Chlamydomonas reinhardtii: one gene and its partners. The protein of the gene in region 1 binds, or shares a complex with, the protein of each later gene. Links are inferred from orthologs where the notes say so. Each region holds a gene or a part of one and is shown on either strand. Other genes may lie near its edges. The genes, in order: CHLRE_13g564250v5, CHLRE_12g498100v5, CHLRE_16g676314v5, CHLRE_12g515650v5 and CHLRE_04g217550v5.

Region 1 (4,289 bases):
GTGCGCGCAGCCACTTCTCCATTGAGAGAGAGAACCACTTTTTGTCATTGCTTTAGACTGCAGAGGAGAACGCACGGCCCGGGGAAACAGCAGTCCGCGGTGCCCCCGGGGTGCTGGACTCCTGCTGTGGGCCTTTACCGTGGGAGTGTGTAAAGTGTGAGAAGTGTGCGAATGTGAGCTTGTGAGGGGCTACTGAATTGAGGTTTCTGTCAGGCCTCCGCACTTGTTCCGGTCTGAAGGAAGGGGCCAAGGCAACCGCCCACGGGAACTTTCGCCCGGGCCAGTTGACGACACCTTGCACCCGCTCGCCCATTTTACAATGGTGGGGATTCAAGTTGACACTCTTTGCTAGTTGTACTGCTAGTCGGCTACTTAGACACTCATGCACACTGAGAATGCTGATGGACAAGGCGCCTGCTACTTTCGGCACCAGCTACCGGTACTTCCGGCGGGTGTTCAGGCTGCCGTGCACCGCGCTGTCACGCACATGGCCACACGGCCGCTTCCTGGGTGTGTAGAACCTGCGTTACCTGCCAGTGGTAGTCAGCTGAGGTGTTTTTTGGGCACCTTCACGCCTGTCGCGTGAAATGGGCACCTTGCCCTGAACAGGACTGAAGGCAATTCTCCGCCAGTCAGGTGCTTACCCCCCTGTAACCACGCACAGCAGGTGTCGTGGGGCTCGTAGTGATGAAGTCGTAGGCAGGGGTGAGATGGGACAGCGTAAGGGCCAGGTTGGCGTAGTCCCGTCGCGTACAGCGTATTCCCAGACCCCAACAATCAATTTACAACGCCATCAAGGCAAGATTGCGCGGCTGGTGTGCGGTATCGCGGGGATTACTGTACCGAGACGGGGGGGGCTTGTAGGCAGGGGTTTTAAGTAGCGGGGCGGGCCCCCAAGGGGGGTAGCCGTTCATGTGGAGAAAGGAGTGATTAAGCCACAACTTCCCAGGGGGCCCCTTGCCAGCACCCCAGCAAGTGTGTTCCGCGCTACGCAGGCGCCTTCATCCAGCAGCATCTGTGCTAGCCACTTGAATTTGACACCGAAATGACCGGTATCGTAGGATATCGGTAGGATAATAAGCGTGGTGGCGGAGAGTCCTGTGTCAAGTTCAGGGTTTCAGGTCCATGCAATCCTTGGTGCACCCTGCTATCCAACACAAGCCTCCCTCCTCTCATTTTACCACATTGGAAGTGCCTTCGACTGGAGGCCGACCCGTCGTCCGACCCCGGCATCCCACGCATCCAACGCCCCATCGCGGCTGACGCCCGCAGCCGAGCGGGTTGGGGCAGGGGAAGACACGGGCGTGCCAGGGCCAGGCAGGAAGTCGGCGCTCAGAAAAGCTTTAAAGTACTTGCTGTGGTTTCTTGTTCAATTTGGCAAGGCGAGCGGTGGCTGGGCGAGCAGATCGAGACTCATTGCGGCGGAGTCTGCCCATCGCGGGAGTTTTCCCTTAGCAGCAGCAAACAGTCAATATATTTGCACCACTTTCTTACATAGACAAAAGCGTGCCAGAATGGCGCGCGTTTACCGGGGTGGCCCCGGCTATAGCGCTAGGCCCGAGAATGCGCTCAAGAGGTCCGACGAGCTTGAGGCTATTGGCCAGAAGTCCGCCGCGCTTCAGGTCCTGCACGATGTTATTTGCAGCAAGAAGCACCGCACTTGGTCTAAGACGTTTGAGGCCATCATGCTGCGGCACGTTGAGCTCTGCGTGGATATGAAGAAGCGCAACTATGCCAAGGAGGCGCTGCTGCAGTATCGCAATATGTGCCATCAGGTCAACATCAACTCGCTGGAAGAGGTCATTAAGCACTTCCTGAAGCGCGCGGCCGACAAGGCCGAGGAGGCGCAGGCGAAGGCCGCGGTGAGCCAGGCGCCTGCAGGGCTCAGATCTGCGTTTATTGGATCCACAGCGCGGGGTGGAGGCTGCGATCGCGTGCAGCCTGGGGTGCCTGCACAGGATCGAGTGCAGAGGAGCCGCCAGAGCGGGAGGGCCGGGACCGAACCTACAGCGTGCCTTGGAATGTTGAATTGTGGTTTGTTTATGGAACATACGTGGTTCTTACTGGGAATGGCTATTTAACGCTGCTGGCACCGACTAGTACATGTGTTTCCGCGGGAACTTCCACTGGAGCGCAGGGCTTTTCAATTTGGTTTTCGTGGCACTAAAGCTATCGGTATACAATCTCGTAGGCGGTGACACTGGACGTGGAGGACTTGGAGGAGGACGCCAGCCCCGAGGAGCTGATGCTGAGCTATGTCTCCGGCGAGAAGAACAAGGTGCGTGGGGTTGCAGGGAGCAACGGGCACTTATCCATGGGCTGGGGCTGCGCTGGGCTGTTCCTTGGGGTCGGGGTGCTGTACGCAAGTGCTGCGCGTGTGCGCGAGGTGTGGGCGAGGACGTGGGGTGGTGTGCGTCGGGGAGGCGACTGAAGGGCGAATCCGCATCAAGCGTGCTCCCCCACCTTTCTAACCCCCTGTTCCCGCTCATCGCACCCGCGTAGGACCGCACCGACCGCGAGCTGGTCACGCCCTGGTTCCGCTTCCTGTGGGAGTCGTACCGCAGCGTGCTGGAGATCCTGCGCACCAACCCCAAGCTGGAGCCGCTGTATGCCATGACGGCCACCAAGGCTTTCCACTTCTGCCTGCAGTACAAGCGCACCACCGAGTTCAAGCGCCTGTGCGACATCCTGCGCCAGCACCTGGTTAACCTGGTCAAGTGAGTGCCGGTCGCTCGGCGGGCGGGGCCCTTGAAAGGCCGTCCGATGCCTCCAGACCGGTTGAAGGGCTCCAGACTTGGGCTGGGATTGCGCCAGTGCGCTACAGCAGGGCCCTGCCGAAGTGCTGCAATACCCAACCGCGACCAACTGTTCCTCGCCTTCACCCACCGTGCAGCAAGTTCCGCGAGCAGCGCGACGCCGGCCCGGAGAGCATGACCATGCACCTGGAGAGCCGCTTCGAGCAGCTGCGTGTGGCGTGCGAGTTGGAGCTGTGGGGCGAGGCCTTCCGCTCCGTGGAGGACATCCAGCAGCTCATCTCGCTCACCAAGAAGGTGGGCGGGCGAAGCCGAAGAGCGGGGGCTGGGGAGGCCGAATGAGGGGTAGGGAGGGGGGGAGGAGGGGCACGGGTTTCCGGGAGGGGGTGGAAATGATTGCCTGTGAGGGGCCGGGCTGGCAACATCACGCATGCCGGGGCTACAGGGTATGAGGCTGGTTGCTGGGCGCGCACAAACCCTGCAAGCTACAACAGCTCGCACCCGGCAGTCGCCTGGCTCGCATATCCACCACCGCTCTGCTCGCCCTCCACAGACGCCCAAGCAGCCGCAGCTGGCGTCCTATTACACGCGCCTGACTCAGATCTTCGCCGTGTCGGACAGCCCCATGTACCACGCCTTCGCCTGGCTGAAGCTGTTTAGCTTCGCCCGCCAGCATGCGCGCGGCATGTCGCAGACCGACTACCAGCAGATGGCTACGGCCGTGCTGCTGGCGGCGCTGGCCATCCTGCCCTACGAGCGCAGCAACACGCCCGGCGCCCGCGGCGCACCCTCGGACGCCGTGGCGGCTGAGCAGGAGAAGGAGCGCGCCAACCGCATGGCAACCATCCTGGGCTTCGCCGTGGTGAGTCCAGGGGCCGCCTTCGATACTGGTTAGATGACTACTGGATGGAGAGGCACTGCGCTTGGTTGGGATCAACGGCAAGGCGCGGGGTACAGAATGGGCGTCCCCACATCTCCCACAACACTGCATTTGACTTAGCGCTCACCATCCCGTTGCCCTCTGCACCTTGGCAACGCCCGTGCAGGACGCCAAGAAGGACGCTCGCGGTCTGCTGACGCGCCAGGCGCTGCTGGCCACCATCTCCTCCTCCAACCTGCTGTCGCTGGTGCCGGCCGAGGTGCGCTCCATCCACGACGCGCTGTCGCAGGACTTCAACCCGCTGGAACTGTGCCAGAAGCTGGCGCCGCTGCTTGAGAAGCTGCCGGAGCTGGCGGCGTCGCAGCTGTCGGGCTCAGCCCCCGTGCGCAGCGTGGCGCTGGACAAGTACGTGCCCGCTCTCAAGCAGGCGGCGGTGCTGCGCCTGCTGAAGCAGCTGAGCGAGGTGTACAGCGTGATGCGCATCTCGGAGCTGGCGGCGCTGGTGCCCTTCTACACCTTTGCCGAGGTGGAGGCGGTGGTGGTGGACGCGGTCAAGTACGACTACCTGACCATGCGCGTGGACCACCGCAACGGCACGCTGCACTTCGGCGCGCAGAGCGTGGAGGCGGACCGCGTGCGCGGCCACCTGGCGGCGG
Region 2 (4,219 bases), on another chromosome or scaffold:
GCACCGGCGAGCTACGGCATTGGAAGGGTGTGGGCAATGGAGCCGTGTTGGGGCCGGGTGACCACAGGACATTCACGCGATACCTACCAACGCTTGAGCATACCACCTCGGAAACTCCAGAGTGCAGACTGCCCCCCTATACCAGTCCTTGGCCATCAAGGTTACCGTACCGCAAGCCCCCGTAACCCTGCGAGTGTCCGAACCGACATGAGCCCCACCTGGGCAAAGCCACCAGCGCTGTGACCTCGGGCGCCTTGCCCTTGCGGTGGGTGCGCACCGGCTCCCCGCTGACCATGTCCCAGCACCTCAGCGAACCATCTTCGCAGCCCGCCGCCACCAGCGGGCGACCACCGACGCTCTCAGGCGGCAACGCCACACATGTCACTCTGCACGACAGGCCCGCGGCAGGGACACGCTTGCGAGCAAGTCCTGAGCGGCATGTTGGGGTTCCACTACAGTGGCTGTTCGCTATGCCAGGGCCAGGACGTTGCTGGCACGTGAGGACATGCGCCACCAGATGTGTGCGAAGGCCGCGTCGCGGCTTCAGCAACACGCAGGCCGAGCGCAGGCAGCAAATTGCATGTGCTGCCCGCAATCATCCCGACCCACCCGCTGCCCACCCACTACCTTGCAACCCAAGGCTGTGCGCACCTGCTCCCGCCCGTGGGCAGCATGCGCTGCACGGTGCGGCTCTGCGCGCAGGCCACCACCACCGCGTAGTGGCCGCCATACGCCACCAGCTGCTGGCTCGGCAGCACCGCCACCACCTGGCTGCTGAACCTGTGGGCATGTGAGGCGCATCAGTGACCTTACCAATGGGTGTGATGTGGTCTGACATGTAGGGGCTACGAGCTATGTGGCATAGCGCGGCGCAATCGGCGGTTGACAGTGCGTGCGGCTGTGACCCCGGCCCCTGCTTCCGGAATGCGGGTTTGCGGCCCGTGGGCGCACTGGCTTGAACAGGCCTGACACTCTAGCCCTTGCACCACTTGCAAAACGCATCAAGAGTACAGGAGCAGCGAACGGCGTGGGCAAAGCACGGACGCTGGCTCCCGACTCCCGACTCCGCCTACCAGTTGGGGGAGGGCGGCAGGACCACCGCCGACGGAGCCGCCATTGTCTCGTGATTGGCTGCGCTGTTTCTGGGCTCCCGCAACCCTCACCAGAGTCGCGTAGGCAAGCGCAGAGAAACGCAAGAGTGTGGCGATAGAGATCACGTCATTTCCCTACAGAGAAAGGGAAATGTGCCGATGCCCTATCTATACATACACCTAACCTCTTATGTATTAGTTCGGAGTCCGAAAGCCCGTTTTGAGCGGGCCAGGCCGATGGGCACTCGGACCCCCATCCGGCACAGCGCGAGAGCGGGCTGCGCACCGGGGCGTAGATCGCCCGTTCCTTTGTCATTCCCGCAGCCCCCACCCCATAATTGTTTCACAGCGGACTGGTCAGGCCTTAGGACTAGGCAAGGGGCGTAGCCGCCGCCGAGAGAAAGATGGCTGCCACCAACTATGAGCTTTCTTCCAAGCTGGTCCAGTATCTGGACCTGCACCTTACGCTGCCTATTATGGAATACCTCCAAGAGCGCGGCCTTTACAATGAGGACGACATCCTGCGCGCCAAGCTGGCGCTGCTGGACAAGACGAACATGGTACGCGCTTAGTGTTTAGATCTGGAGACCTGGCACTTGGAATGAGCTATTGGACAGGCTGGGGATGCCGGAAGCGGGAAGGGCAGCTCAGCGAGTGCAGAGGCCATCGGCCTTTCCAGTTTGAGTCCGGGTCGCTGAGCGAAAAATTCGATGTTGTAGGTGGATTTTGCGATGGATATCTACAAGGGCCTAAACGGCGTGGACGAGGTGCCTGCGGAGATGAAGGACCGCCGCAGCCAGGTGGTGGCGCGTCTTCGCCAGCTGCAGGCGGACGTGGACCCCATTATCAAGTGTCTGCAGAACAGGCATGTGGTGGAGAAGTTCCGTCAGGATAAGAGCTTCAACCTGCAGTTCCTCCAGGAGGAGTTCCAGATTGGCGCGGAGCACGTCGAGGCGCTGTATCAGTACGCGCGCTTCCAGTTCAACTGCGGTAACTACTCGCTGGCGGCGGAGCTGCTGCAGTCTTACCGCACGCTCTGCACCAACAGCGAGCGCAACATCAGCGCACTGTGGGGCAAGCTCGCTGCGGAGATCCTCATGCACGAGGCGGTGAACATCCAGGAGGCACGGGAGGACGTGTTCAAGCTGAAGGAGGTCATCGACAACCAGACGTTCGCCCCCCCGCTGGTGCAGCTGCAGCAGCGCACCTGGCTGCTGCACTGGTCCCTGTACGTCTTCTGGAACCATGAGAACGGCCGCAACGACATCATTGACCTGTTCCTCTCCCCAGCCTACATCTCCGCCATCCAGATCAACGCGCCGCACCTGCTGCGCTACGTGGCGGTGGCTGTGGTCATCAACAAGAAGAAGCAGCGCAGCGTGCTGAAGGAGCTCATCCGCGCCATCCAGCAGGAGTCGTACGAGTACTCGGACCCAGTGACCCAGTTCCTGGAGTGCGTGTTCGTGCACTACGACTTCGACGGCGCCCAGCAGAAGCTGAAGGAGTGCGAGGCGGTGCTGGACAACGATTTCTTCCTGGCGGCCTACAAGGACGAGTTCATTGAGAACGCGCGCCTGTTCATCTTCGAGACGTACTGCCGGATACACCAGTCCATCTCCATTGCGCTGCTGGCGGAGCGGCTGGGCATGGACCAGGAGGCGGCGGAGAAGTGGATTGCCAACCTCATCCTCAACGCCAAGCTGAACGCCAAGATTGACTCCAAGTCGGGGACGGTGGTGATGGGCACGCAGTCGCAGTCCGTGCACGAGCAGCTGGTGGACAAGGCCAAGATGCTGTCCGTGCGCACCTACGTGCTGGCCAACACCGTGGTGGGCAGCGTCAAGCCGTAAGGCACCGCGGCGAGCAGCAGCCGGGGGAGGAGGAGCAGCAAGCAGGTGGGAGTTGGAGCCATGGCGGCGGGCGGGATGGGGTTGGCGGGGGCGCGGGGATGCATGTGGGCCAGGGGGTCGTCTGGGGCTTGGTATTGGCGGGAATGGGGTGGAATAGAAAGGCAAGCTCTGGAGGTGAAGAGTGCTGGATTCCTAAGGGATTGGTAGATGGGGTAGCAATTGCATTGGGCAGACGGCTGCTAGGCCCAGTTCCAGCGGTGCTCCGCACGCGGCATGGCAAGGAAGGGGACCCGCGGCCTGGTAACGGACGTGCAACAATTCGCCGGTTGATACGGAAGAAGCCCTGGGAACTGCGAAGAGGTTCGAAAGGTTGACGTGACGAGGAATCACTTTACCTCAAGCTCTGATCGCCATCCATCATTCCCTTTTGCCTTGTAGATTGCGGGCTTGCTTGTGGACGACAGCGGTGTGCAGGGCGCGGTCTGCCGCTTCGGCAGGCGATTCACGACAGCAGCGAGCTTTGAGTTACGGGATTCCGTTGCGGGATGGGCAGCTTTCTACAGCAGCAAGCGTGGGAGCGCTGGCGACGGCTGCTGCACGGATCAGACCAGGAGCGCTGGGCGGAGGGCGCGGCAGCGGGTGTGGGACAGCGCTGGCGAGCGGCGTTCGAAGGTGCTGATGAGATGAGCAGTGACGTAGACGGGCGACAGCGGCTTTGCAATACAGTGAAGGGCGGTAGGAGCGCGGCGGCTGGAATTTGCAGCAGCTGCACGATTATCCCATGGGCGGGGCGCAAGGGCATGCTTGTTCAGCGACGTGAGACGGGGGGGTCGCCCCCTTGGCAGTGTGTTCGCGCGCGCCAGCAGCAGCGCGTGCCGGGGGGCTGTGCAGCCGCGGCTGGCACGGACTCGGCAACGCTTGTTCGGGTGAGCTCATTGGATGGGCTGTCTCGTGCTAGGGAGGCGGTGCATTCGCGTTCCCGTCGGGCTGGTGCGCTGCAGGCAATGGATTTCCTGGGGCTAGGGTCGGCATTGCCCGCTGCTGGTGGCTGCAGAGTGTACCTGGACGGGCACATGCTTTGGATAAGCCTGAGCGTGGACCGGCGTGGGGGCAATCGGCGTTGGCGTAGTGAGGAGCAGATAGGTTCTCGTGTATGCAGGCAGTGTGGCAGTGCGGCAGTCCGCACACGGGCTGTGGATGTAGGTGTGAACGCTGTGCCAACGAGACTGAAACTACGTAGGATTCGGGCTAGACCTAAGAGGACCATTCGGGGGAATA
Region 3 (4,214 bases), on another chromosome or scaffold:
GGCGTAGCGGTCCATGCGGTGGTCAAAGGTGACTGACGACTGCTTCCATTTGACCGAATAGGAGAACTGCACGTCCAGCGTGTCTGCGGTCGTGATGTCCACTGTGCGCATGGGGTCGCTGGACACGTTGATCTCGATGATACGGTCGTCGTTGTAGGACAGGTCGAAGTGGAAGTGGGTAAAGAGGAAGTACTTGTGCGTACCCTGCTGCACAATCTTCTCCACCTTGCCGATGAAGCCCCACACAGGCAGGTCGTCGTAAAACATCTGGGGTCAGAGCCGCGGGGTCAGAGATAAGTACCTAAGCGACGCTCAACAGGAGCACGCACAGGAGCACGCACAGGAGCACGCAAAGAGAACCTAAAGGCAACTTCTTGGGGTAGACGGGGCATATGACGGGTCAAGCCGCTGTTGTGCTTTGGCGCGCACCAGGAACTATCCTCTTCTGGTATGTGCGACAGGTTGCGGGGCAGGTGTGCAGGGTGGCAAGGCCCAACATGCACACGGTAACCCAACATGCGGGCAAACTGCGAATGAGGGCAAACACGCAATAGAGGTGTTGACCGGCGCATGGGGTGTCAGCGACGAGTACAGGCCGGGAGTTGCTGGCAGCGTGCACCGGGCCGGGACGGACACGTCCTGGGGTACACGCGCCCGCACACCCGCTGGTCCCAGTCGTGTCAACCCGCCGCACCTGGAAGTAGTAGTCCTGCTTCACGGCATCCCTGAACTTCTTTAAGTCACCAGCAGTGAGCGTGCGTTTGCAGAGCACCGCGTTCTCAACATCGGTGCGGAACTGCAGCTTGTAGGGAGTTGTCACCAACCGGTCGCCCTCAAGCACCTCGCCTAGGAATTCCGTCTTATACTCCTTGCCGTCAGTGGGCTGGCAGAACGGCAAGTTGTAATACTGGTACGTTTCCCTGCAAGGCAAGGAGCGAAAATCGCGCCGCGTTGGCGCGCGAGCTGGCACCGCTGGCTGCAGCAAAACTACTCACGTCGGGTTTTGAAAGGGTCCGACTTTGTTTGCATACAGCATGATGTCACTTCCGGGCTTGAATTTATGGTCGCTGCCCAGCAAGACTCGCTCCGATGCTACGAGGGCTACAGCGCTTCCGAGCAGCGCTGCCATCAGCAAGCTCGCGCGCAAGCGCGCCATACTGCCAAGTATACTTTGAGGCCTAGCCGCCCTCGTCAACGCGCAAGCTTTTGGCGACTGTTGCGACGATCCTAGTTCGAAACACAGGTGATGCTACTCGTTGTTGTTCAGCATAAGCACGAAGGTACAAGCGCGAAAAGTACAGCAGCAAACTGACATTTCAGGTCTGAGAGAAATTGCATTGCAAATGGAAGTGCGATCGGGCCCCGCATTGCAGCCAAACACACCCTGATCACTGTAGACATCGTGTAGTCGTATCGTTTACTCTTGTGTTTAGCTTTTGAAAAACAGGCTTTGCTTATAGGCACGGCGCCGCCGACTTAGGCCGCTGGTTTATTGCAGAGGCGCTGAAAAATGGAGGCCATCGCTCCTAAGCCGCATAAGGAGCTCGTGAAGACGGTGCAGCTTGAGGGTCAGGTGCTGCTGAAGATTATCCAGCATTGCACTGAGGCGCTGCCCCAGAACGTTACCGGCCAGCTGCTGGGCCTGGATGTTGGTCAACAGCTGGAGGTGACGGACTGCTTCGCGTTCCCGGTGAGCGCTGAGGATAGCAGGCGCTGAGGGCGCCAAGCGGACTTTTGGGCGGCCCCCAGATTGCTCGCGTTGTCGAGCACGCATAGCAGGGGAAAGTCGCGTGTATCAGCATATGCATATGCACAATAAAGATCGGCGATGGTGTGGGCCGGGTGTGTGCAGGCTACCGTGGCGGACGATGACTCCGAGGCAGAGTCGGCCGGCGCCAACTACCAGCTGGAGATGATGCGCTGCCTGCGTGAGGTGAACGTGGACAACAACACCGTCGGCTGGTGGGTGCAGTCAATGCGCGAGCTCGCGGGGGAAAGGAGAGGGAAGGAGTCAGGTGCAAAAGCAGAGGAGGGGGAGTTGACGTGGGGAAGCGCCCTTGGGAAGCGCCCCAAGGCGGGACGGTACCGTAGCACTCATGCTAGCCGCCGGGACATCAGCGGACAAGGGCATGTGCGCACTACATGAGCGGCACGCTAGCTGCGGCAACCACCGTGTATGAACCGCCTGTCAGAGTCCTTGCCTGCGGACACGAGGCCCGTTCGGCCGTTGGCGGGGCTCGAGACTGGCCTGGGGGCGACATGGCCATCAGCCACCCGCGACAGTACCGCAAGCAGAACCTCGGGGTAGCAGCCGCCGAGCATCTTCAGGGCTGGACCCGACTGCGCACCATGCGCTTGCCTACGAACCGTGCACCTGCCGGGCCGCACCCCACAGGTACCAGTCGGCCAACATGGGCACCTTCCAAACCGTGGAGCTCATAGAGACGTTCATCAACTACCACGAGAACATCAAAAAGTGCGTGTGCATCATCTATGACCCCCAGCGCTCATCGCGCGGCAGCATCGCGCTCAAGGCGATCCGCCTCAAGGAGTCGTTCATTGAGCTGAGCAAGGAGCAGAAGCTGACGCTCAAGGGCTTTCGCGAGGCCAACCTGTCGTGGCGTGATATCTTCGTGGAGCTGCCCATCCGCATCCGCAACAGCAACCTGGTGCAGGCGCTGGTGGCGGACCTGATGCCCGCCCCCACCGCGACCCAGGCGGACGTGGAGCGACTCAACCTGTCCTCGGCCCCCTTCCTGGAGCGCAACATCCAGTCGTTGCTGGAGTGCGTGGACGACATTGTGGCGGAGCAGCAGAAGGTGACCATGTACCACAAGAACGTGGCGCGCCAGCAGCAGGCGTACGCGGTGTGGCTGGCCAAGCGGCGGCAGGAGAACCAGCAGCGGCAGGCTGACAACCAGGAGCCGCTGCCGGAGGAGGACCCAAATCTGTTCAAGCCCATTCCCGAGCCATCCATGCTGGATAACTACCTGGTGACCAACCAGATCGCCACCTACTGCGACCAGGTCAACGTGGCGGCGGGCGAGACCATTCAAAAGCTGTTCCTGATGGAGGGCATGCAGAAGGCGGGGTTGTAAGCTCGAGGACCTGCGAGCGGAAGAGCAGGCGCTTGCTGGGGCTGCGGGCTCGGCTGTACAGACCCATGACCACGGGATGCAGACACGGGATGCAGGAGGATGGCACCGCTTATGATGGGTGCTGTCGCAGAGGCTGTGCTTGCAGGGGCCAAACATGAAGCGCGTAGTGTGTGCTGTGGGACTGTAGTGGTTTGAAGGCGGAAGGCGCTGTCTGGTGCAACTGCTCTACCGAGCACACCTACCAGTGGCATTAGTTATTAGGTGCTCAGTTTGAGGGACAAAGGGCGGGATGGGATTGGGTGGGGCGTTTGTGGTATGGCCGCGTTGAAGCACACACAGCTTGCGCTGTTTTGAGCGCGCCAGCTAGCGGCGCATAGGCAGACATGACGAGTGCAGAGTGTTGTTGCTCTAAGAGGGTGGACGTAACCAGTACACGATCAGACATTGTAGGAGGACTGCAGGAGTGCAAGTTGTGAGGTGTCGCTGTGTGCAACCCGCGGCAAGGTCCGTGACGGTTGACTCTCCTCGCGAGGGCGAACATGGGCGCACGTACAAGTAAGACAGCCCACATTCCCTACGCGGCAGGCTCTGCCTTGTCGGTATGTAAGCGTAACGGCATCTTCGCGCGTTCTCGTGCTCAGATATGTTAAGTGTGGTGCCCTCCGTTCATGACTGCGATGCGTGGGGTGGGTATGGGAGGTCGGTGTGCGTGGCTTAATACGGGAACATGGGACTGCGCCTCCCAGTGGCACCCCTGACGGCTCCTTCGCCAGCCTGCGCAGCCCCACAGTGCAACTGTCATTGCAGGCAAAGCCGCCGGCTTTGAGCAATGCGCCGACGCCATTTCTGCTTGTATTGGATTTGTAGGTATTAGCCTGAACTAAACCAAGGGGGGAGGGGTGAGAATCGCGCAGGCACACCCCACACTTCAAACGGCCTTTAAATCAGGGGGGGGGTAGAAAGCTCAATTTCTTACCCCATGCTCAAAATTACAGAGCTTAAGGAGAGCATTATGCACGTGCTTTTAGTTTTTCAAGGGGGCGTCTGGTGAGGAAGTTCTGGGCCGCCAAAGTTGGGGGGTCGGTCCTCGTCCCTGGGGGTCCGTCGGGTTTCGGG
Region 4 (3,960 bases), on another chromosome or scaffold:
GAGAGCGCTATTGTGGCTGCGGAAGCGCGCGTGGCCCAGGCGTCCGAGGCGGCTAAGGAGGCGGAGGAGCGGGCGGCCAGCGCGGCGGCGCACGCGACCGCGTACCAGGACATGTCGCAATCGCAGGTGGGCAGGGTACGGAAGGTGTCTGCATCAGAGAGTACCGATATCTGGGCCAAGCAAGCAAACGGCGCAAAGGACGCGAAACAAATTCTACGTTACACAATACACGCGCATGCATACTGCGCACTCTTGGCACTCCTGTGGGTGCCTCCAAGCTAAGCGCCTCTAACCCCATCTCTTCACACAGGCCGACATTGCCGAGCGCGCTGCATCCATCGCCAAGCGGCCGCCGCCCGGCCCGCTGGACCAGCTGCAGCGCCTGTGGCGCAGCGTCACTGGGCAGCCGGCGCACAACAGCCCGCAGCGAAGCAGCGGCAGCAACATCCCGTCCGCAGGCGCGCCGCGCCCCGGCACCGGCGGCTCGGCTCCTACAGGCGGCAGCGAGTCTGGCGGTGCCAGCGGCCCTGGCGCGGGGGGCAGCGGCGGTGGCTCGCGCAGTGCAAGCGTCGCCGCTGCGGAGAACCTAGGCAGCACCGTCAAGGGGCTGCTGTCGTGGCTTGGCCAAGGCGATGGCTCCCGTTAAGCTCGCTACACGCCACCAGCAGCTGGCTACATAAGCGCCGTGTACTATTCCAGCTAGCCTCCTTTGTAATGGGGTGCCATACCGCCGAACAAAGTCAGTACAGTAACGCCTTCTGCGATGCCTTCGCATGCGTGTGCGGACCGCCCCAAGGCGGGGCACGGCTTCTCAACGAATGCCCTTCACGCACTCAAGTCTACAACCCGATGGGCATACCGGGATCCAACGGTCTTCTATCTAATGCCTAGAAGAGTCTGACAGTAATGGTTGTGTGTCATGCTGTCATGGTCGTGTCGTCAAGTAATTTCAGTAGTAGCGTTGATTTAAAAGCCCACGGTCACGGCCTTGAGCATGGGCGCCACCTGGTCGAAGCGGATGAGCTCCTGGGTGCGCTTCACGACCGACTGGTTGTCGTCGCTGCGGGCAGAACGCGGGCGTAATACAGGGCAGGAGGGCCATGAATGGCGTGAGCTTGTAGCACTTGGGGTACAACCCCAGTTTTTAGGACAATCTGATACTAGATAAGCACGATATGTAGGTGAGTGTTGATGGAGGAGGAGAGGTTGTTTGCGGGGTGTGCATTTCCAGAGTACAGGTGCGGCAGGATTGGAGGTGGGCAGGTGGACATGGGATGTCGCGGCGCTATCATGCCATGTGGCACAGGAGGCACCAAACATGTTACCATGTTCGATCAGCTGTTTCAGCTCTGCGTGCGCCCACGGTGTGCCCGCGTGCCCCGCTTCCCGGCCCCTCATCCTAGCAATGCCAGCAGACCCCGCCCCCTCCGCAGGCCAGTCCAGAATTCTGCGCCTGTACTCACTTCTTGGGGAGCCCCACCACCTCGCCAGCGGGCGTGTTGACAATGCTCCAGCCAGCCGACTTGCACTTTTCAGACAGCTGTGGTCAGAAGCAAGCAGCCAGCAGGCGCGTTTTTACCCTGATGCTAGCTGATGAGGCGCACTGGCGAAGGGACCTTCAAGCCGGCGTCACAATCTCCCACCCCGCCGTATGCACACAGCTTAACCCTTTCGCTCACGTCCTCAAGCGACGCTCCTCAACGCCTTTCTACCCAACCCAGCCCTGCTTACTGCGCACCATTCACATGTAAACGCACACGGAGACACTGCCGCCACCACGCCCCCCCATAAGAAACTCGTAAGCGCAATGCATCACTCACGTACTGCTCCAGCGTGGCGCCCTCCAGCTTTAGGCAGTCCGCCAGCGTGCGCTTGGTCACGCGGCCGTAGGTGTGCACCAGCGTGTGCGCGATGAAGCCGCGCACCGACTCGTAGAAGCCGGGGACTGCAGCAGAGCAGCAGATAGAGCTGGTTTAATTGGCATTCGTGACGTGTGGCAATCGGGGCGCCTCTGTTGCCTCTGATTCCGCATCCGTTGCCTTTAAAAACCCCTGCGTCCTAGCTGAGTGGCTCCCACTCCAGCCAGGTCCCCGTGCGCTGCACTTACTGCCGCCCAGCAGGTCGCGGCAGGTGTTGGCCGCGTTCCAGAAGTCGCCGAAGCGGCTGGTCTCCAGCGCGTTTGCGAGCTGCACCACCTTGTACACCGACTCGTCAGACTGCAGCAATGCAGGGTTCGTGCAACGGATGGAGCAATAGTGGAACAGGAGAGGTGTGGAAACAGCCATGAAGGTGCCACAGCATTCCCCGCGTGTCTTGGGCGGCACCCCACGGTGCGGCCCCTAACCCACCCCACCCACCCCCTCCCCCAGGCCCTGACGCTTTAAACGCCATTCCACTGCACTTCGCACACCTGCAGCAGGCGCTCTGGAAGCAGCGTGATGCAGCATTTGTAGTCCTGCGCGGGCGCCTGCATGATCGCCTTGATAAGCACCTTAGCGACAATGGCAGGCTTCACGCTGGCCGGGCTGAACTGGTAGAAGCGCAGCAGCGTAACATTAGCATCCAGGCTCCATGAGCGGTTCGCGACCTGCAGCAGTGCAGGACGCTTTCAGCGCAAATTGCCGCCGCCGAGCATGTGTCGCCGTGCTGGCACCAAGGGGCCAGGGGACTAAACGGGCTGCTAAGAAATACAGATCTACCTGCTCATCAACATACGCCTCAAGCTGTGGCAGCTTGTCCGGCGAGTAACGATCAGCACCAGTCACGATAAGAGACATTTTAACTGGTATGTAAAGAAAGGAAGTGTCAACGTAAAAGAAAACCAAGACAAGTGGATGCTCACCCTGGGATGCGACGCTGCGATGGCCGATGATGGGGCTCCGAAGCGGTAGAATCCACTCTCTAGTCTGTGAAGTGCAACGATACTGCATGAGCTACGAACGTAAAGCTGTATACACGCACTGGGAAACTGATTTCTTGCATAGCGCGCGTCTCGACAGCTCGCCAAGCTCTCTCCCTGCTCCGAACACGCCGCGAACCCCACAATTATCGCGTGCTTTAGGAGAGACTGTCGCGCCTTGAGCGGCTCTGCAGGGGCCGGGCGCTCGAGCGATCAAGAGGAGCGTCGTGCGCCAGCCCCGCCCTTCGCGTCCTGTCACCTTCCACAATGCTCCTCCGGTTGCGGCAGGCGCTGCCGCTGCTGCAGACCTTCAACAGGTGGTCTGCAATAGCACCTATCCCCAGATTCCGCAGCTTCCCCGCTGCCTCGTCTGCCGCTGATAGCGACAGCGCCCTGCCAGCGGTAGACGGTGCCAGCGGCGAGCCGCCCAAGCCCAAACGCACTCGCCGGGCAACCTCCGCGGCCGCCGCCGTGCCCAGCGGCAGCAGCGATGATGTACCAGTGGCAAAGAAGCGGGCTAGCCGCAAGACCGCTGCCACTGACAGCGCGACTGAGGCAGGGCTGGACCCCTCGTCTGGGCCGAGTGAGGACGACGCCGAGGCGGCAGCGGCTGTGCCCAAGAAGCGTGCCTCGTGCCGCAAGGCGCAGGCTGCCGAGCCGGGCGAAGAGGCCGCTGCTTCAGCATCCGGAGTAGCAGAGGTTGGAGGTGATAGCGCAGCTGCAGCAAAGCCAAAAGTTACGCGCACGCGTCGCACTAAGGTAGCAGCCGAGACAGTTGCAGAGGGGGGCCCGGAAGCGGCGGCGGCTCCTGATGGGGAACTGCAGGCGCCCAAGAAGCGCGTATCCAGACGCAAAGCTGCCGTGAAATCATCATCCCAGGAGGATGGAGAGGAGGAGAGCATTACCATACGGAGTGAGTGGGTCTGCGCCCTTGCGCTTGCTCGCCATCAGGTGCTGCCAGCAGCGTTCTACTCTCCACTACTGCGAAGCCCGTTCCTGCACCCTTGTCACCCTTTCCTGCGCCCTGCGCGCCGTCCGTCCTCCTCACTCTCATCTCTCCC
Region 5 (4,028 bases), on another chromosome or scaffold:
CGGTGGCGGTGGCGGAGGCGGCGGCAGCGGCCGCATCAACGGCGGCGGCTAGCGTGGGCGGCGGTCGGAGAGGGGAAGCAGCCGGGGCAGTGAGGAGGGAGGGGGAGGAAGGGGCGCTGGTGGCGGTGGCGAGCCGTCTGGATGTGGGGGCGGTGACACGGTTGGTGTTGGCGGCGGCGGGCGTGGAGTGACGACGCAGGAGGCTGGGATTGGAGGGCACGGTACCCATGGCAGCGTTTGTGTGGTGGCTTCTGGACGGAGGGGAAGGGGGCTGTGCTCATGAGGCATGAGGACAAAGCAACAAGAGAACACGTGGCAAAGGCAGGAGCTGAGGAGCCTCAGGGGGCGGGGCAGCTGACGGCGGGTCGGCTGGGCAGTCCAGAGAGGTGCTGTCAGTGGTGTGTGGGCGCTGTGTGCTTTCCGTGATTGCGGCACGCCGGAAGCCGGCAACATGAGTACATGCGTATTGCGTAATGCGGTACGAAGTACCAAATCCAGGCATGTCACTGCCCCGAGAGACCTGTCGTCATCGCCGCCGCCGCTGCCACGCCCGCTGCCCTGCACTGCTCGTGCCTCTTCCTTCTTGACAGAGAGCCACGCACCGTGTGCAGGGGGGGGGGCGCCCTTTTAGCCTCGTGGCCTCGTGGTTGTATGGGGCGACGCTTGGAGCCCTCGGCGTTCGGGGTCCCTGGGCCGGGGATTGTAGGGACCCCCACATCGGGTCACCAGCAGTGGCGGGTGGGCGGACACAGCAGGCCTTCCTCGCTGTTCCTCGCAGCCTCGCTGTTCCTCCTGCAGGCGGCGCTGTTGCGACGGGAGGAAATGACGAAGGTGGTGCAAGCATAAGTAGCACGGCCGGGGCATAGGAATGCTGGCGGCAGCGCTCGCAGAACAACGAGTCGCGCCGCAGTGGGCCACAGCGCAGCAGATGATGAAGTCAGACCTGGGGCCAACGCACGCGGCGAAGGCAGCGGCGAAGGCAGCCGAACGCGCAGCCGAACGCCCAGCCGGGCTGGCGGGCTGCGAGGTGCAGCGGAGAGCGAAGATAACAGCAGCTGCAGTGGAGTGTCGTCCTCGCGCTGCTTACTGTGCTGAGGGTGGCAGGGGTGTGGTGGGGGCGATGGAGGTTGCCACCGGGCAGGCGCAGGGGAGGCGTGCCACCGTGCCAGGACGACCTTGGTGCATTTAACACGCACATAATTGAATTAACTAGCAGTGGTTTCTGTGCAGTCTGTAGCAGCCCAGGGCTCAGGGAGCAGACAGACCATCATTCCGCGCGCGCTGCATCGCAGCCCCTCCACCAGAAGCCGCTTCCCCTGAACCGGCACCCGTCCTTTCCTACTTGTTAGGATACATTTGCGGCAAAGTCCGCACTTGCATTTATCACAACAGTCTCTTTTCGCGCCGCCGACTAGATCGAAAAATGGTAGGACGTTTCGCTCTTCCCCTCGGCGCTGCCTTTTGCTGATCTGGAGTTTCTTTTTCTCTGCAGTCTAAGTTCTGGGGCCGCGGCGAGAGCGAGGATGAGGAGGAGGAGACCACTGAGGAGGAGAGCAGCGAGGAGGAGGGCAAGAGCTCCTCCTCCGGCGACAGCTCCTCGTCGGACTCTGACAGCGACTCGGACTCTGACTCCGACTCGGACTCGGACTCCGACTCCGACGACGACGGGCCCAACAAGTGAGCACATCGCAGCCGCCGAGGTGCCCTGCGCGTGCATCGCCCAGCGCTCACCGTTTTTGTGTTTATGCTATGATTTCAGGTTCTTGGCTGGGTCCAGCGACTCGGATTCGGACAATGATCGCCGCGTGGTGAAGAGCGAGAAGGACAAGCGCATGGGCGAGCTCGCGCAAACCGCTGAGGACATCCGGGTGAGGCCTGGAGCTTCGACTGGAAATGTGCAGAGCGATGGGGTGGCCACGGGGCGCCGGGGAACGATCGACGGTGTGGCGGGAGAGATGCGGCAAGGCTTTTTTGCGCGAAAACCGGCGTTCTGAGCGTCTATCACGCTGCGGCTGCATTCCTATTGTGTATTTACAGAACAAGATGAAGATCAACGACTGGAGCGCTATCCAGGAGCTGTTCGACACGCTGAACGCGCGCCTTGACAAGACGCGCAAGTTCCTGTCTGGGCCGATGCTGCCGCGCGTGTACCTGAAGCTGCTGGTTGACCTGGAGGATTACCTGAATGATACTCTGGCGAACAAGGAGCTGGTGAAGAAGAAGATGTCGTCCACGAACGCGAAGGCGCTGAACACCATGAAGCAGCGCCTGAAGAAGCACAACACGCCCCTGCTGGAGCAGCTCAACAAGGTCGGCCGGGGGTCAGCAATGGAAAGATAGGGGGGAAGCGCACGCAGAGCGGCAGCGGGCTGCGGGGGTCCGGGCCACCGTGTGCGGGAGGAGGATGCGTGCCTCAGACTCTGCAACACCCCATTAAATGCTGCGAAACGCCTGCGCATGCCACAGGTCCGCGAGAACCCCGACGAGGAGGACGAGGTGTCGGAGGCGGACAGCAGCAGCAGCGAGAGCGGCAGCGACGACGAGCGCGACGCCGAGGAGCGCAAGCAGGTGCGCTTGCATTTGTGTTTCGTGTACCGTGTGTCTGCCTGGACATGTGCTGCCAACTGCTACTCTGTTCGTCACTGCCATCGTCTGACTAACCATATGCCTGGAACCCTTCCCCCCGCTACTGCTAACCCCCACGCGCTCCCCCTCCATACGCAACCCTGGCCTTCCATAACAATAGGGCGCCCTGGCCGCCAAGGCCAAGGACAAGCTGCTGACCATGGACCCCAAGGAGATCACCTACGAGATGGTGGCGCGCAAGATGAGGGAGATCGTCATGGCCAGGTAGAGGAGGCGGACGGGGGAGGGCGGGCTGGGCGGAGGAGGGGGAGGGCGTAGGCGGGACGGGGAACGGCGGCACGTACGGGCTGGCAGAGACGTGGAGCTCCGAGATTGGTGGCAACGCTGGGATCCCATCAGCTGACGGCGAAGGAGCGCGGAGAGCTACCCGCTTGCACAGCAGCAGCGGCAGCGGGAGCTGCGTCAGCGGCAGCGGCAGCAGCAACGGCAGCAATGGCGCCAGCAGCAGCAGCAGCAACAGCAGCGACGGTATTGCCGCATTGTGTGACTGCAAGCTGAGGGCGGGCTCTACTGCGACGCGGCTCGCGGAGGGGGCTTTGGCCAGGGGTTATGGCTGGGGGTTACGGAGGCGCCCGATTGCCACCGTGGCTGTGTGCTGCGGCTGTGGCGGCGCCGCTGCCAGGCAGCGGCGGGCGGCGCCGCGCTGGCGGCAGGAGGGACTTGGGGGGCGGGAGAGCACCGGGCGCACCAGCGGCGGCAGTGGCGCGGCTGGCACGGCGGCGTATGGCTTGGCGTGGGCTGGCGCGCTGGCATGCCCGCCTGCGCGGCAAGGTGCGCTACGGTGCAGCAGCAGCTGTTGCTGCTACGGCCTGGCCCTCCGCCACAGCGGCTGCGGCGGCGCCTCCACCTACAGTGCCGGGAGGAAGGGAGGGAGGTGCTGGACTGCAAGCCGCCGCCTGCAGCGCCGCCGCCTCCGCAGCCGCCGCCACAGCAGCAGCAGACAGGCAGGGGCACTGCATGGCGGCGCTGGAGTAGCAGTGGACGCACTGGACAAGGAGCCAGGCGCAGCTGCAGGGGGGCGGGGCAGGCCCGGCCGCTCCCGCCGCACAGTCCGTCGGTCCAGCGGGAAGAGGGGGGCGGGCATTTATGGAGGAGGCGGGCGGCTCCCCTGGCGCGCGGCTCGGCACGCGGCGGCGTCGCGGCGGCGTCGCGGCGGCGTCGCGGCAGCGGCGACTGCCGGCTGCAGCGTTGCTGGCAGTGCTGGCAGTGACAGAGGGGGGCGGCGGCAGCTGTTGCGGACACGTTCCCTGCAGCAGCAGTAACATCAGCAGCAGGGATAGCAGTAGCAGTTGCAGCAGTCGAAGCGCGGTCGGCGGCTGGCAGCGTCGCTGGCGCGTGTGCCGTGGCTTTCTCGCGGCGGTCTGGGCGGCGCGGCGCTGGTT

Evidence for each region.
Region 2: CHLRE_13g564250v5 (region 1) and CHLRE_12g498100v5 share a complex: the UniProt entries of both Arabidopsis thaliana proteins name them as parts of the eukaryotic translation initiation factor 3 (eIF-3) complex. The link is inferred for Chlamydomonas reinhardtii from reciprocal best matches to the Arabidopsis thaliana genes EIF3A and EIF3E.
Region 3: CHLRE_13g564250v5 (region 1) and CHLRE_16g676314v5 share a complex: the UniProt entries of both Arabidopsis thaliana proteins name them as parts of the eukaryotic translation initiation factor 3 (eIF-3) complex. The link is inferred for Chlamydomonas reinhardtii from reciprocal best matches to the Arabidopsis thaliana genes EIF3A and TIF3H1.
Region 4: CHLRE_13g564250v5 (region 1) and CHLRE_12g515650v5 share a complex: the UniProt entries of both Arabidopsis thaliana proteins name them as parts of the eukaryotic translation initiation factor 3 (eIF-3) complex. The link is inferred for Chlamydomonas reinhardtii from reciprocal best matches to the Arabidopsis thaliana genes EIF3A and EIF3K.
Region 5: CHLRE_13g564250v5 (region 1) and CHLRE_04g217550v5 share a complex: the UniProt entries of both Arabidopsis thaliana proteins name them as parts of the eukaryotic translation initiation factor 3 (eIF-3) complex. The link is inferred for Chlamydomonas reinhardtii from reciprocal best matches to the Arabidopsis thaliana genes EIF3A and EIF3C.

Annotation. Positions count from the first base shown.
Region 1 is NC_057016.1:317,037-321,325, forward strand, and holds the start of CHLRE_13g564250v5 (uncharacterized protein), read left to right. Parts: upstream 1-1,489; 5' UTR 1,490-1,514; coding exon 1,515-1,862; intron 1,863-2,191; coding exon 2,192-2,278; intron 2,279-2,502; coding exon 2,503-2,717; intron 2,718-2,893; coding exon 2,894-3,050; intron 3,051-3,306; coding exon 3,307-3,615; intron 3,616-3,799; coding exon 3,800-4,289. UniProt on the Arabidopsis thaliana protein: RNA-binding component of the eukaryotic translation initiation factor 3 (eIF-3) complex, which is involved in protein synthesis of a specialized repertoire of mRNAs and, together with other initiation factors, stimulates binding of mRNA and methionyl-tRNAi to the 40S ribosome.
Region 2 is NC_057015.1:3,278,601-3,282,819, forward strand, and holds the start of CHLRE_12g498100v5 (uncharacterized protein), read left to right. Parts: upstream 1-1,418; 5' UTR 1,419-1,495; coding exon 1,496-1,651; intron 1,652-1,810; coding exon 1,811-2,941; 3' UTR 2,942-4,219. Other genes in the region: CHLRE_12g498150v5 (uncharacterized protein), read right to left, coding at 1-11, 219-386, 652-780, 1,074-1,117. UniProt on the Arabidopsis thaliana protein: Component of the eukaryotic translation initiation factor 3 (eIF-3) complex, which is involved in protein synthesis of a specialized repertoire of mRNAs and, together with other initiation factors, stimulates binding of mRNA and methionyl-tRNAi to the 40S ribosome.
Region 3 is NC_057019.1:3,507,401-3,511,614, forward strand, and holds CHLRE_16g676314v5 (uncharacterized protein), read left to right. Parts: upstream 1-1,414; 5' UTR 1,415-1,510; coding exon 1,511-1,690; intron 1,691-1,852; coding exon 1,853-1,962; intron 1,963-2,395; coding exon 2,396-3,098; 3' UTR 3,099-3,717; downstream 3,718-4,214. Other genes in the region: CHLRE_16g675958v5 (uncharacterized protein), read right to left, coding at 1-267, 695-920, 996-1,036. UniProt on the Arabidopsis thaliana protein: Component of the eukaryotic translation initiation factor 3 (eIF-3) complex, which is involved in protein synthesis of a specialized repertoire of mRNAs and, together with other initiation factors, stimulates binding of mRNA and methionyl-tRNAi to the 40S ribosome.
Region 4 is NC_057015.1:3,875,238-3,879,197, forward strand, and holds CHLRE_12g515650v5 (uncharacterized protein), read right to left. Parts: upstream 2,806-3,960; 5' UTR 2,778-2,805; coding exon 2,700-2,777; intron 2,588-2,699; coding exon 2,411-2,587; intron 2,217-2,410; coding exon 2,108-2,216; intron 1,946-2,107; coding exon 1,821-1,945; intron 1,541-1,820; coding exon 1,464-1,540; intron 1,061-1,463; coding exon 967-1,060; 3' UTR 311-966; downstream 1-310. Other genes in the region: CHLRE_12g515600v5 (uncharacterized protein), read left to right, coding at 1-126, 199-282; CHLRE_12g515700v5 (uncharacterized protein), read left to right, coding at 3,167-3,812. UniProt on the Arabidopsis thaliana protein: Component of the eukaryotic translation initiation factor 3 (eIF-3) complex, which is involved in protein synthesis of a specialized repertoire of mRNAs and, together with other initiation factors, stimulates binding of mRNA and methionyl-tRNAi to the 40S ribosome.
Region 5 is NC_057007.1:243,925-247,952, forward strand, and holds the start of CHLRE_04g217550v5 (uncharacterized protein), read left to right. Parts: upstream 1-1,226; 5' UTR 1,227-1,423; coding exon 1,424-1,426; intron 1,427-1,492; coding exon 1,493-1,677; intron 1,678-1,759; coding exon 1,760-1,868; intron 1,869-2,037; coding exon 2,038-2,310; intron 2,311-2,466; coding exon 2,467-2,568; intron 2,569-2,746; coding exon 2,747-2,850; intron 2,851-4,028. Other genes in the region: CHLRE_04g217500v5 (uncharacterized protein), read left to right, coding at 1-191. UniProt on the Arabidopsis thaliana protein: Component of the eukaryotic translation initiation factor 3 (eIF-3) complex, which is involved in protein synthesis of a specialized repertoire of mRNAs and, together with other initiation factors, stimulates binding of mRNA and methionyl-tRNAi to the 40S ribosome.